Oreochromis niloticus: one gene and its partner. The protein of the gene in region 1 interacts with the protein of each later gene in a pairwise test. Links are inferred from orthologs where the notes say so. Each region holds a gene or a part of one and is shown in the gene's direction. Other genes may lie near its edges.

The links. The genes of interacting proteins can lie anywhere in the genome.
Region 2: the proteins of bag6 (region 1) and tac1 interact in a two-hybrid assay, tested with the Homo sapiens proteins (2 studies listed by BioGRID and IntAct). The link is inferred for Oreochromis niloticus from reciprocal best matches to the Homo sapiens genes BAG6 and TAC1.

The regions. Positions count from the first base shown.
Region 1 is NC_031976.2:36,171,960-36,179,488, reverse strand, and holds the start of bag6 (large proline-rich protein BAG6), read left to right. Parts: upstream 1-4,516; 5' UTR 4,517-4,649; intron 4,650-7,154; 5' UTR 7,155-7,161; coding exon 7,162-7,242; intron 7,243-7,337; coding exon 7,338-7,455; intron 7,456-7,529. Other genes in the region: apom (apolipoprotein M), read right to left, coding at 195-308; glrx3 (glutaredoxin 3), read right to left, coding at 3,490-4,467. UniProt on the Homo sapiens protein: ATP-independent molecular chaperone preventing the aggregation of misfolded and hydrophobic patches-containing proteins.
Region 2 is NC_031985.2:36,816,482-36,823,701, reverse strand, and holds the start of tac1 (protachykinin-1), read left to right. Parts: upstream 1-4,214; 5' UTR 4,215-4,598; coding exon 4,599-4,715; intron 4,716-5,447; coding exon 5,448-5,550; intron 5,551-5,632; coding exon 5,633-5,656; intron 5,657-7,220. UniProt on the Homo sapiens protein: Tachykinins are active peptides which excite neurons, evoke behavioral responses, are potent vasodilators and secretagogues, and contract (directly or indirectly) many smooth muscles.

The DNA.
Region 1 (7,529 bases):
TCTCTCTGCAGTTGTAGTAAGTGTGAAATATCAATCCTTTACAGACAAGATGCTCTTAACCAGAACATTACGCAATAAGATCAACAGTAAATCCCGTCGTACTGAGGTTATCATAAAAAAGACCTCAGACCAGTGGGGAAGTGCCTTTGGTATTTTCATAAATCTAAACATGTATCTTTCATTTTTACTCTCACCTTCTGCCGATCGATCGTGTTCACAGACAGCATCTCAGGCTCCAAGCAGGGAACAATGGTCTGATACAACAAAGTGTACAAAGACAGAACAAGAGAGAAGACTTCTTTTAACATAGCTGCAGTCTAAGTCAACACTTTGTAGTAATCCTGATCAAAATGCCTGGAAACTCCCAGGACTGTCTCTGAATGTGTGCAATACTCCAACAGACCACTTTATCAGTGTGGGTTGAGGTAAATTATTAATCTGTACAGCAGCATTACCCCTGAACTTGAAAGGTAAATAATAGGTTGGAAATGCGATGTTTGCATCCATGAATGTAAAACTTCAGCATCAGGATAAAATACATTTATAGGAAACTGAAACATGCTTTCTCACAAGTAGCTTTACTCATCCAACATTTTGTGAAAGGAATAAACTCGCTAAAGACTCACCGTCACTGACTCATCATCATATGTAGGAGGTGTTTGTGGCTATTTCTAAACTGGAACCAACCAAATTTTCTCACGAACTTAACAAACAGCAACCCGAAGTTTTAACTTTATTTGTTTCTGTTCATCCTGCCCCGCGTCCCACACCTTCTGTCAACACACACACACTAGGAATCATTAACTTCCCGTTTTGTCTTCCCATACTAGGTTTGGGAGAATGAAATTACTGGACTATTAAGAATCACACATGGCTTTATCAATTAATCAGGTGTGCTTCTGATTTTAAAAAAATGTCAAGAAAACAATTTTATCAAAAAACAAAGAATATTTAGTTTAAGGCTATTAACAAAACAATAATCAATAAATAATAAAACTAAGCAAACATTCCCTGTAGATGACCAGTTTTACAGACTATGAATAATTGCCAAAATATTTTGAATAGCTAATTGAATAACTGACCTTTTCATGTCTCATGTATGAAAAAGCCTCTACTGTGAATTCTGCTTAGAGCCGTGTTCCACATCTGCTTCCACACGGTGGAGTTGTTACACCTGAATAACTTTCTCCACATGATTCACACTTCAAAGTAAATAAGGATACAGCTTTTTTTTCTACATCCTAAGTCACATCACATTAGTTCAATTCCAATCTGTTTTTTGCGTACAGTTACTCAATTACGCTCAAATTATGTTATTTCCTACAATAAAATGATGATAAACTATTTTGAATAGAGTATAAAATCAAGTCAGTTAAACTTCTGGGACATTTATCTGGTCAGTTTGGTGAATTTTTAATCAGGTTCAGCCGCTTTGGTGTTAATGAAATTAACAGCAGGTGCACTAGAGGGGCAACAATGAGACAGCCCCAAAACAGGAATGGTTTTACAGGTGGAGGACATTTCTCCCTCTGCATCTTTTCTGACTGTTTTTACACTAGTTTTGCTTTTGGCTAGGGTCACTATCACTACCAGTCGCACAAGGCAATGCGAGGATCCTACAGAGTTGTAAGTTAATAAGTACACTAATGCAGTGGGCTCTGGGTTCTTCCTGGAGCACAACAGTGCCCAGCCACTTGTTGCAAGAGTGTGTAGGCGGTTCCTGACTGATGAAGGAATTGATACCACTGACTGGGCCCCCACACTCATCTGACCTAAGTCAATAGAACACCTCTGGGACATTATTTGGTTCTATCTGACGCTGCCAGGTAAAGCTAATATTATGTGATTTACGATGTAGAAAAACAGATTTTTATTTATTTGTTTTCAAGTGTGCATCATCTGGAGAACGTTATTCAGGTGTAACAACTCCACCTTGTGGAAGTAGGTGTGGAACACAGCTCTAACTAAATTTCAAAATAACACACATGAACCTCCAACTGTCCAGGAGCTCAGTGATAACCTGTCGTTCCTAACACAGAATGTATGGATAACCGACCTGATTTCTTTCTAAATTGAGATTTGATGCAAGTTTAATTTTATAAGCAGTATATTTAGACATGCTTCAAAAAAGTTTTGACATCAAAATAAAAGAGTAAAAATATGGTGCAATGGTGAAAAAATAAACTGGGAAAAGGAGGGACGTTCACTGAAGCTGAGCGGTAAAAATAGGGAAGGCTTCCCCACATTGCCAATAGGTTAAAGTTCATGTACTTATAAAATGCCCCACATACTGAGTCATGTTTTTCTTGGGGATTAAATACATATTTCACTCAAAACTATTATGTAATGTGTTTTTTCTGGATTTTTGACTGATTATTCGGCCTCTTTCTATTAAAATGAAACTCTGAATTTTGGTCTCTAAGCTTTTGCATCTGAGGCTTATACTAGAAATGTTGCACAGTTAAGCTGTACTAAGAAGTGGAAAAATGTCCTTGAACCAATCAAAATCCTCCTGGATAAAAAGAAGGGCCATAAGGGATTAGTGTCAGAGGACAGTTTAAAGCCAGCACGCATGATGGTGTTGTTTCGCATCAGTGAAAAACCATACCATGTAGAAACCTATATCCATCCCTGAAACTGTGTTGTAAACAAAGGATTTCTGCAACAGTGGTAATTTTCTTCTACCACTCAGTAGAATCACACATATTTGGCCAGACTTTATTAGTTCTATTACCTCGCTGTTAAATCTTACGCTTCAACGTAGCTGCTTCATTGTTACAGGGTGGCTCGTCTCTTATTGTATTGTCTCCTCAACTGAATAAATAAAAAATCTACAACAGTTGTCTCCTCAGGTTCCTAATGCTTACAGGGTGAATAGAGTAAATGCTTACAGATTAAACAATAAAGGGAAAAAACACTTTAAGTTGTTTTAATTTTTAATTGTAATCTTACCGACAAACACACATAGCTTGTTACCAGAGTGATCCTTGCACAGAGCTAAAAACAGCTTTTCGGACTTTAAAGGTGGAGAATGTGCAGACAGGACGGTGTGAACAGTGAGCAGCTGGCCTGGGTAGGAAAATAAAAGTCTACATAACATACTGAAGTGTGAGGCTGTCAACACTGGAAGGAAAGCTATAATCCCAAGAAATGCAGATATTGTGAACTAACGTCATCATTTTTCCAAGAATCAGACAGCAAGAAGTATTTACTTAAATGTCATGTTAAACAAATCTTCAGATGTATTTTCAAGAATTTCTAGAAGCCCAGCTTTCCAGTAACAATCATTACCAGAAAGAAAAACAGATGTAAATTCTTACTGTTGACAGCAGTTTCATTTCTGACTGTAATTAGAGTGAATCTATCCCCCTGCTACAATACAATTAGTTACTAGAGAATATTTTGACCCTTCTGCAGGGTTACTGGAGCTAATCTGGGTATGTGCAGCAGCTTCTTGTTCCCTCCCTCAGATAGCCAATGCAGATCCATCTACGACTCCCCTTTCAGGACTGATACCAGCTCTCCACTCTCCTTCAACTCCTTGACAATGTCCAAACCACCGATAAGCTCTCCTTTCACATAGAGCTGAGGGTAGGTTGGCCAGTTAGAGTAAGTCTTGAGCCCCTGCCGCACTTCTTCATCCTGCAGGATATCAAAGGTGTCATAATCCACCCCGGTACCGTTCAAGAGCTCCAGTATCTGCCTGCTGAAGCCACATCTGGCAGCCTCTTTGTTGCCCTTCATGAACAGCATGACTGGACTCTGATTGATGATGGTCTTCAGTCGGTGCTCTAAGGTGACAGCCTTCGGGCAGGTGTTCTCCAGCTCTCCGGACTCAGCCAGTTCCTTCACTATGTCCAGTCCTCCCACCAGCTCCCCGTTCACATACAGCTGGGGGTAGGTGGGCCAGTTGGAGTACGTCTTCAGCCCCTGTCGGACCTCCTCATCGGACAGGATATCGAAGCTGCTGAACTGGATGTTGTGCTCTTTCAGCAGCGCAACTATCTGTCGGCTGAATCCGCAGCGGGGCTCCTGGGGTGACCCCTTCATGAAGAGCATGCAGGGGGCGGCGTTGATTAGCTTCTTCAGCCGCTGGTTCAGATCTGCGCCGCTGCCCTCAGCGGCTCCACCGGGTCCCTCGCTCACCGCGAGGCGCTGCACCTTCTTAGTCAGTTCCGGAGCGTGAGCCCCGTCCAGGCGGTCCACTTTCTCTCCGCTCTTGAAGAAAAGGAAAGTGGGGACGGAGGAAATTTCATACTTCTCCGACACCTCCGGGACCGCTTCCGCCTCTAGCTTCACGAACGTAGTGTGCGCATGTTCTTTGGCCAGTTCGGCCATCACCTCGTTCATTTGGCCACACTGAGGAGCCCACGCCGCTTGGAAATGCACCACGGTAAGGCATTTTCCAGCTTTGGCTAAGAAATCTTCAAACTGCTGTTGAGTAGTCGCCTCCACGAGATTCGCCATTTTTCTTTCCTTTCACCCTCTGCACGCGCAGTGGTTCCGGTGCCGCCTAGACGTCATATCCGCGTAGCCTGGCAGTTTCTGGCAAGTACCAGAGCAGCTACAGGGAAGTCGTTTGCATGCTAGCTGATGATAAGAAAACAGCTGCATACACTGGATAAGTCGAGAGGATAGTAACTTCTAAGGTAACTGTTTAACGACACAGACTTAATTAAAACGAATTTCACTCTGTTTCGGATTGCTAAGCTAATTTTAACGTTCCGTTTTAGTAGCTTTAGCATTAGCTAGTTAGCTCAAAGTTAGCTTCGTTCGTGACGTCTGCCAGGTTTCCAAGTTAAGCAAAGCTAATTCATGCTAGCAAGCCTTTGGTGGTTAAGTAAGCTACTGTTACACGTAAATTCTGCTAAATAGAAATAGAGTCAAATACCACTGTTCTAAGAGTTAAATTAATAAAAAGAGTTTAAATAAAGATAGTGCACGTCGGTGTCTGGCCCAGCATGAAGCAGCCTCGGTTCCTCGGCTAACTACTCAACATTACGCTGTTACCGAGCACGCAAACTCCAAAACAACACGAGCAAGTGTTTCGCTGATCAGACTCAGCTGTGTCCTTCGGTTTTACATCGGTGGTTTGCACGAAAAAAACTGCTGCGTGTTTTTGTTGCTGGTTTTGAGGAACATTCAACTCTGTGAAGTTTTCTGCACCTGCGGACGGCACTATTTTCTTTATAAATCCATATGCTGCGTAGCTGTCAAGACAAGTAAGATGGTGGCGAAAAAATATTCTTTAGATAAACATTTCAAATGAAATGAAAGGGAAAACAATACACACCTTATCCTTGCCATGGTATAAGCATAATGCATCTTCTATTTATTTTTAAGGCTTTTCAAATCCGGTGATAATAACTAGTTTGTTACTACGCCTGAAAATTATAACATACTTATATGACATATGACACTGTGTTAAAGTTTAACAACAATTAACTCAAAATGCAGAAGTAGTGTCTAAAAAAACAAAACAAAAACAAAACTATGGGCTCCCAATAATTCAGTAGCCTGTAGAATCACCCTTAGCATCATTAAATTGAAGTAATGGTTTTCTGTAAGACATTATCAGTCTCTCACATCATCTTCTCCCACGTGTTACATTGTCTACTATTAGCATGATCTTGATCACAAAGCATGTGTGTTCTGTGTAAATGTGTCCTTTGAAAAACTAAGTACACACATGATTCAGTAGCTTATTGAAACACCTTAACCAGCATCAGCTTGAAGTAATCTTTATCTGTATGATATTATCAGTCTCACTCTTCTTTATACATGGTTTATGCTTCAGTTCATTGAGGTTGGCGGGCATTCATTTATACAAAGCTCTCCTGTCACAGCATTACATCAGATTGCAGTATGAACTTTAGATTTTGTTTTGATTTGCTCATTACAACACCTTGACTCTTTCGGGGGTTTTTTTAGCTGTTCTGTTGTACACAAGGGTTAGTTATTGAAAAGATGCCCTCATATTTCAATTCAATTTTATTTATATAGCGCCAAATCACAACAACAGTCGCCTCAAGGCGCTTTATATTTGTCTTTAGAATACTTTAACATACAGAGAAATTTATGATCCACTCACTGACTGCAGGTGCCCACATCCTAGACTCCAAAACAAGCCCAAAACATCACCCCTCCACCACTTGCTTGACAGTTGGTATGAGACGTTTATGCTGATATGCTGTGTTTGGTTTAAACCACTGGCACTTTGTATTATGGCCAATTATCTCCACAATTGTCTTGTCCGTCCAAAAAACACTGTTCCAAAAGTTTTGTAGTTTGTTTAGATGCAAGTTTGCAAATCTAATTGTGTTCATTTTAAAGAGAAAGATGGCTGTGGCAGCCCTTTTGTCAACTTGTTCAGTCTTTTAATAAATGTACTATCATGAACTTTAACATTTAAAATGATAAGTGAGGAAATAGTATTTTGCCACATTAGTGCCACAACATCATGAGTGGTCCACCAATAAAGAGGAAGATAACTGAGAAAACATTAGTAGAGAAAAATTGCTGTAAATAAATAATAGTTAAATATTGTTAATTATTATTACAAGAGTATGCACATATTTTTGAAAATAAAAGTATTGTAGTTAACATTTTATGGTGGTTTTGTTGTTTTTTTTAATTTTGCTGTAGGTCCACACAGTGTTTTGTTTCCTATATGTTCTACATTTCTGAATATTTTTTTTTTAACCTATGAGTTACAACAACCACAATATTTTGAAGCTATTTTCATATATTCTTTTTACATTTTATAGACCGTGTGAGTAATTATTAACACATTAATTGAGAATAAACATTATCATTGGCCATAGCTGTAGGAGCAGTATCAGTTGGTAATTACTGGCCGGCACATCAGGTTTTTACGGACCCTTTGAGTCAGCAAGTATCAAATGACAAAAGATATGTTTGTGATAATTTAAGTGAGAGTCTTTGTTTTATACTGTAAATTGTCCTAATTAGTCCCAAATGTTCCATTTCACATCTCACAGAGATGTTTAAAATAGATGTTTATGTTAAGAAAGAAATATGAGAGGATTTCAAATTAGCAAAGTGTTTAAACTCTCACATAACAGTCATCATATTTACCCTAAGAATCCAGTTTCAGCTGAGCTATAAATGGAAAATACATCTTTCTGTTACAGGAACACAATGGAAGAACAAACTGCTGACATAGAGGTGACGGTGAAAACATTAGACTCCCAGAGCAGAACCTACACTGTTGGCGCTCAGGTAAGTACATGCATGGTGCAAACTCAGGAGGAAATTCTTATTCTTAGTTCATCTTTCCTGTGGTGTTACTCATGTCTGTTCAATCTTTGTTGTAGCTGACGGTGAAAGAGTTCAAGGAGCACATTGCCCCATCAGTGGGTATACCGGTGGATAAACAGAGGCTGATCTACCAGGGCAGAGTGCTGCAGGACGAAAGGACTCTGGCAGACTACAGTAAGTAAATAAAGAATGAAATGCAGAACTAGATTGTTACTTGTTGGTCTTTGTACTTCCTCCTGGAAAGCAGG
Region 2 (7,220 bases), on another chromosome or scaffold:
CACCTAGTCGTAAAAATCTAAACATTCACATTCTTTCTCTCACACGCCGCCTAAGTTATGACCTCGGCTCCTTGTTTTATCTCCTCCTGATGAGATGGGGCAGAAAACCTCTCTGGTATGTTCTGTTCTCTTCTAATCAGACAAATAAGGCCATGACTCTCTGAAAACGGTATTTCTTATAACTCAGCAGTATAATGCATCATAAAACAATATCATTCATTCACTATAAATCAGCAGTCTAATCTAATACAAATCAGTTTAATAAATCTAATAGTTATCACCTCTTCAGGAGAATAAAGCAAACTAAAACTACATAATAATTTCACAATCATTAATCAGGGGTATAACATGGCATAAGATAATATAATAATCTCACAGTGACCAGCAGGTAAGTGAGGTTCTTGCCAGGTTGGAGCAATGGAGATCTGTGAGAAACTAAAATACAAGGAGACACAAGGTAGGCAAAACAGGAACTTAAAATGTGTTGGCCAAAATCTCAACATGGGTTAGCAGACGAACTGGCAAAGACTAGTTGTAAGCACTGGTCTTAAATACTGCCAAATACTTCCATCTCTGGTCAAGACTACCAGCTCATATGACAGAACACTTCCCTCCTGCACCCGGCGATCATCATGGTCACAAGTGGCCTGTTCTCAATATTACATTTTGTGTATGATTCTGTTATTCTGAACATGCAGGGATCCACTCCTGAAAAAAAAGTTTATGATATTAATGTAAGGAACAAGGTTCTTATACTGAGCTACAAAAATGTGAACAACTAAAAATATAAAGTGTGAAACACTGGTGCATAAATTAAAAATTAGGATACATATCTACGTGACTCAGTCAGCTGCCTTCTCAATGTGTAATTTATGTAAATTATAAATTAATACCCATTCTGAACTTATAAAATCTTGCTTCTGACATATGTATACCAACATGCATTTCTTACATATGAAACCAAATTTTACAAATCAAACTAGAACATGCAATTAGAGAAATCGCATTGGGATTGTTGCTACTGGCAGATTCAGTCTGTAGCTTCACTAATGATGTGATGGCTCTGTGCCTCGTAAAGTGGCGGTGATTTTAAAATTGAGTTATGTTTGTGTTACCTAGCGATGAGAACTGTTAAGAATTTAGCGACTCTGTGTTGGAGGTATTTCCACTCTTTGTTGTGATCGATGTTGGGGTCATTACCCAAAAAAGTAACTATTGCACATATTACATTGAACACTTTTCTCAAAAATAATGCAGCACAATGCGTAATTACTCCCAGGATAAAGTAATTCCTTATATTACTCATTAAATTACTTTAATGTGATGCTGTAAAATTACCTAAAAGGCATTGTCTCATAATTTATCCCTGTACTCATGAGGACACACATATGAGCTTTCTCTTGGTATTACACAGGCCCACAGCACAAAGCAAAGATGAAAACTAGCATAAAGAGACTTAACAGTGATTGTTACAGTGATCACTACTTTAGAAACATGAACAGGAAGAAACAGAGGCTGCAGCCTGATTGATCATCTGTTTGTTTTATGTTGAAGTTCAGAGTGTGGCTGCTGGGCTGGGGTTGGCATTCACTCAGCTGTAATGCCACTCTTGATTATCTTAGTATACATGCTGTGTGTTGCAGGTGCTTTCCAAAGAGCTGAAGTTCAGCTACTCGGAGTGGTTGTAATAATTTCTGTCTTTCAAGGTTTGTATTCAAAATGCAGTCACCTCTTTGGTTTTGATTTTTAAATATCATCTGCTGGTCAACTTAATGACTACTGAACCAATGGGGTGTACCACAGTGAGAGGGAAATAGTTCAAGCAATAATAGCTTTAATTTCATAGTGAACTACAAATACATGATTTTTCAACTATAAATAAATGGCATTTTGATATATATGGAGCATATGCTCCATGCCAACTGTGCAGGAGTAAAAAAATATGTATATATAAAAAATAAATACAGGAATAAATAGCAAACAGAATAAATATATACACCATCAAGAGAAATATATCCAATCAAGAGTGATATACACACATTGGGTAGCAAAGTGCTTGGAAGCAGTGCAAAGGGAGTGATTGGGGCCACTTAGTGAGGAGCAGTCAGCACGGGGATCTGAAGGTGGTCCAGTTTGGTGGTGAGGATGTCTTCCTGTTCTTCGCTCAGTGCTTTGTGAAGAGCGGTGGTGATGGCATCCGCCATGGACCAATTTGCTCTGTAAGCAAACTGGTGGGGGGTCAAGGGAGGGGAGTGGCCAGTCTCAGATGTGCTGAGGCACTGCCGGCTCAAAACACTTCATGACTACAGACGTGAGGGCTATAGGTCTGTAGGCATTATGGCTGCCTATACCAGCCTTTTGGGGGATGGGAATGATAGTGGAGGCCTTCAGACAGGTGGGAATCGTTGCCTGAGTCAGGGAGAGGTTGAAAAGCCCGGTGAGGATCCCTGCCAGTTGGTCCGCGCAGGCTTTAGACACAGCCCCTGGGATGTTGTCGGGGACTGGCAGCTCTCCTGGGGTTTGCCACTCTCAGTTTCCCTCTGACCTCATGTTCTTGGAGGGAACATGTTGGAGGGAACAGACCATGTTTAATGACCCAGATGCTTGGAGGGGTTTGTTTCCTGAGGGGGATATATGCAGGCATAAAAAGCAGAATGAGGTGGTCAGATTGTCCCAGGTGGGGGAGGGGTGTCGCTTTGTAGACATGCTGGATGTTGCTGTATACGTGGTTCAGTGTCCTGCCCCCCCTGGTAGGATACATAACATGCTGGGGGAATTTGGGGAGTACAGATTTCAAAAATGCCTTATTAAAGTCTGCAGCAACAATTTGGACACCCTCTGTGTGCTGTCTCTGGTTTTTACTGATAAGAAGTTGAATGTGGTTGAGTGCTGAGCTAACATTAGCACTGGGGGGGATGTAAACAATGGCAACTATGGCTACCGTTAACTCCCGAGGTAGATAGAAGCTTCTGCACTGAATGGACCTGGTGTCTAAGTCCGGTGAGCAGTGACTTTCTATAATTTTGCTGTTATAGCACCAGTCCTGAACCACATAAGCACGCAGCCCAATTCAGACCTGATCCAGCTCTAACTATACGTTTTACCAAAAAGGAAAGTTTAAGCCTAATCTTAAAAGTAGAGGCAACAATACAAAGTGATCAGTGCATTGCAGGAGGACGCAGTGAAAAGGCATAAAAAACCCAAAGAGGTGCACAGTAGTTGGGTGCGCTGTGCTGCTGAATATGTCCGTACACGCTGCCATCTTGCTCATTTTTGCAACTTTTCAAGTGTAAGTCAATGGAATTTCAATACATTTTCCCAGTCAACTATAAATCCACCTAATTTCAATATAATTTCCCAGTCAGCCATAGACGAATGACTTTGAGAGGGGTCCCATGGAACAGTCCAGCTGATAATAGTTTTAATTTCCAGGTCAACTAGGAATCCATTACTTTTCAATGCCTTGGTTGTCGCCTGGTCAACTATAAACAGATCAATAATCATTCAGTTATAACATGAGAACTTTGAATCAATGTTATTCCAGTGTCATTACTGTTACACTGTCAGGTATCATCTGTATTTTAATATGGATTTTAGCATATTTTGGCCATAATGATGATTCAGATGAAAAATCAACATTAACTCAATCTCATCTTGCTATCTGGGAAAGATGAAAACCAGCCCAGAAAGACTTCAAACGATCACCACGGTGATTGTACTGTAGAAATGGAGGATGCAGTCTGTCTGTTCATTCATTTGTTACCTGTTGAAGTTCAGGGTCTGGCAGCTGGGCTTGGGTTGACAAACACTCAGCTTTTACATTACTCCCAGTTCTTGGCTAGCTTAGCGTTAGCATGCTGTCTGTGGAGACGCTTGCAAGTTCTTTTGCATAATGCAGATGCTTTTTGCACTACACTAACGCACTCTCCTCCTTTGGTGCAATAAAACTTCATGAATAAATGATAAATTAAATGTTAAATACAAATGTTCTTAAACTGAGCATTAGGTAGAAATATCCCTATAATACTGGCCTCCATCAAAAGTATTCAAACAATGAAAAAACGTTAAATCAAATGGCCCAGACATGTTGGAGCAACTTTTAAGTTTTGGGCGCTGTGACAACGAAAAGCGGACTTTTTACTGTGACTGAAAGCTGGATAACAGTACTTTATGACGTCACCATCATTCTTCATAATAGTGACGGTGAAGTCCGGTGACGCACAACAGGTTCTGATCACTGCGCTTAACAGGCTGCTTACCGAAACTTCACTCAAGTAATCATAGTACTGTTAAGGCGTTACTTAGCAACACTATTCACACCGGTATATAGGAGCGTACGGATCGGAGACCTTACGAAACAAACAGCTCTAGAAGCTGAGTGCGCAGACAGCGCTGGAGATAGTGCTGTGACACAGGCTACGCGCTATGGACTACTGTTGATTTGTGGAGGAAGAAACAGCGCACACTCCAGCTCCTTCTGGTGCTCACACACCTGTTTCATTCACCTCGCTTTATTTCTGCTGACTGATAACTGTTATCGTGATACATTGGGTATTAGAGTGCTTATTGTTGTAGAGTGAGAGAAAAGCTGCGAGATCATGAAGTCTCTGCTTGTAGCAGTTTTAATGGTTCTCATCGCCGCCGCCCAAGTTTCCGGCGAAGAAAATGACCCAAAAGAGGACACTGATTACTGGACGAGCACTAATCAAATCCAGGTATGTATTCAGAGTTATACTCTCTCCTTAATAATTCATAAATACTACTATTAAAGTAGCTCGTCTTTTAGTCTCCTTCAGTGGATGAAAGCAGAATAAATTTATATACCACCTAACAGGCATAAGGAAATTAGTTTGACTTAAGTTTTTTTTTTTCTTCCTTTTTGTGAGAACAAAGACATCCCCTTACAGACGTATGTTAAACCCCAGCGTCACACTTGTAGGGTTGCATATTTGTATTTTTAAAAAAATATTAAAATTATATGTATACACAAATTTACTGAAAAGGCGTATATAAAGGCTCATATATTAGCTTAATCACACTTTAGGAGCGACTGGATATATCGGCACTTTGTCACAACGGGCATCATCTCTCTGTGCGGGACATTAGTAGCGCAAAGATCCATATTGCCAGTCACACTAATGCATACTGCATGAATATAATCCTGAGATGGAAACAGAAAATCGCAAGAAAAGATCCAAATTCATTCTGCATTACTCGGTGTATTTTATGTGGGTGGACCGGTGGGTGGGACTGTCAGCTAATATTGATTAAGATAAGGTTCTGGCAGAATTCCGCTTTATTCTCTTGTTATAATGACGTGAGCAGGTAGATAAGGTATTAACACAGTTGAGGTATAGTTTGATGACACTAAATTTTTATAAAGATAAGATCCACTCTCACTCCACTCTGCTTCTCAGTGTAAGCATTCCTTCTCCCCCTCCACTCAGAATGGCTGGATTTCCGACGACCCGTTCAGAGAAGCCCTGCTGAGAATGACAAGAAAGCCAAAGCCACATCAGTTTATCGGTCTGATGGGGAGGCGCTCTATGGGTAAGAGCTAATTCTTAATAAAAGTACTTCTCCTATGCACCAGTTATTCTAACCTTTCATTTTTACTTTCATCCTCCCACAGCAAACACACAGATCACCCGCAAAAGTAAGTCCTGAAGTCATTATAGCTATAGCAATTTCCCTGCTCTTTAATTAAAACTCGGAACAAAAAGACCTAACCCCTTTGCCAATAGCTGGAGATGTGTGGCCAGTTACCTCGGACCTTTGACTGGCGCAAGCTGGTTTGTACACTGCTCATTTGTGCACAAATCAGCATGCACAAAGCAAAACTGAATTTTAACATAACAAAATAAAGCTCAGGTAAAAATAAAGCTAAATAAAAAAAATTTAAACGATTTTAAAACAAATCTAAATATCAGTATGTACAGTAGTGGAAATAGGCAAATATGAATATTATTCCCAAATAAAATTGATGAATAGCTACAACCATCTATTACAGTGATAAGTTAACAAGAATTAAATGATCACTTTCAGTTTACCACCATATCACTTATGTGAATTATAAGTAATTCTGTTACAGTATCACTTTTAATTTAATAGAGAATAAATTACTAGTGATAATGTAATAATGCTCCCATGTGGTAAAATGAGACTGCTCTGTGGTGACCAATCAGAGACGTATACATCAGGTGGGATGTATTAGTCATAATGATGAGGGATTTCTTCAGCATTCTCCTCTTAGACACCTCTACCCGAGTCTTCGAGTTTTACTCCCAGAATCAGTCTTCAAGATGAATTTATTCAGTCTGTTGACATTAGCAGCTTTCATCCTGCCGAACACTCCTGCATAGAACACCACACTTGCCACCACAGAGTGATGGCAAGTGATATAAACAGCAAGGCCTTACAAATGTTGAACGACCTGAGCCTTTTAGTTGATACAGGTCGCACAGATTCTGCTCTATATCTCATCCATGAAATAAACCCTTTTAAATGGATGGAAGGGCATTAAAAAAGCATTCAGGACATTAACCCATAAGAGCCCAGATACATTTTTACTGCCGGGAAAACTATGGGAGAGTCAGTGTTTAAACTTTAAAAGGAAAACTTTCCTCAGTGTGTGAAGGGACGAGGTTCTTTAGAATCAGACACACAAGCAAAGGCAAGTGTGCAAGGGTCAGATGGACTTGTGTGCTTTTCTCTAATAATGTGCATTTTGACTGAGATTAAAGGCAAAAAAAAAATACATTGAGTCAATAAATGTACTGAGACAGTGGGTGGAGAGGTGTACACAGCTGTGACAGCTCTACAGATATCAGCTCACTCCACAAAAGTGGAAGGTCTTTGTTCCACAAACAGAGCATGGAGCAGAAAAAGCGTAAATTCAACTTGCCCACAGTGTTTGTGTCTGTGGGCAAGAAATGCAGTATACAAAGATTTTTTTTCCCTAATGTTCTTTGAACTAATTAATTAGTGAGTAAAGAAGGTGGTCCAGGGGAGACGCCTGTGTGAGACAAAGAGGGAAAAGATAAAGAGCAATGAGGAGGAGGGGATTTTCTCTTTCCTCTGTCATGGTTTGCGTTTCATCTGAATTAGTCACCCACTCAGTGATGCACTCAGTGCAGCGCAAGTAAGCAAACAGCTAATTTATTCCTGTAATGCAGGACCCGCTGTAAAACAATCATAAGATAGGGAGCTGAGATACGTGC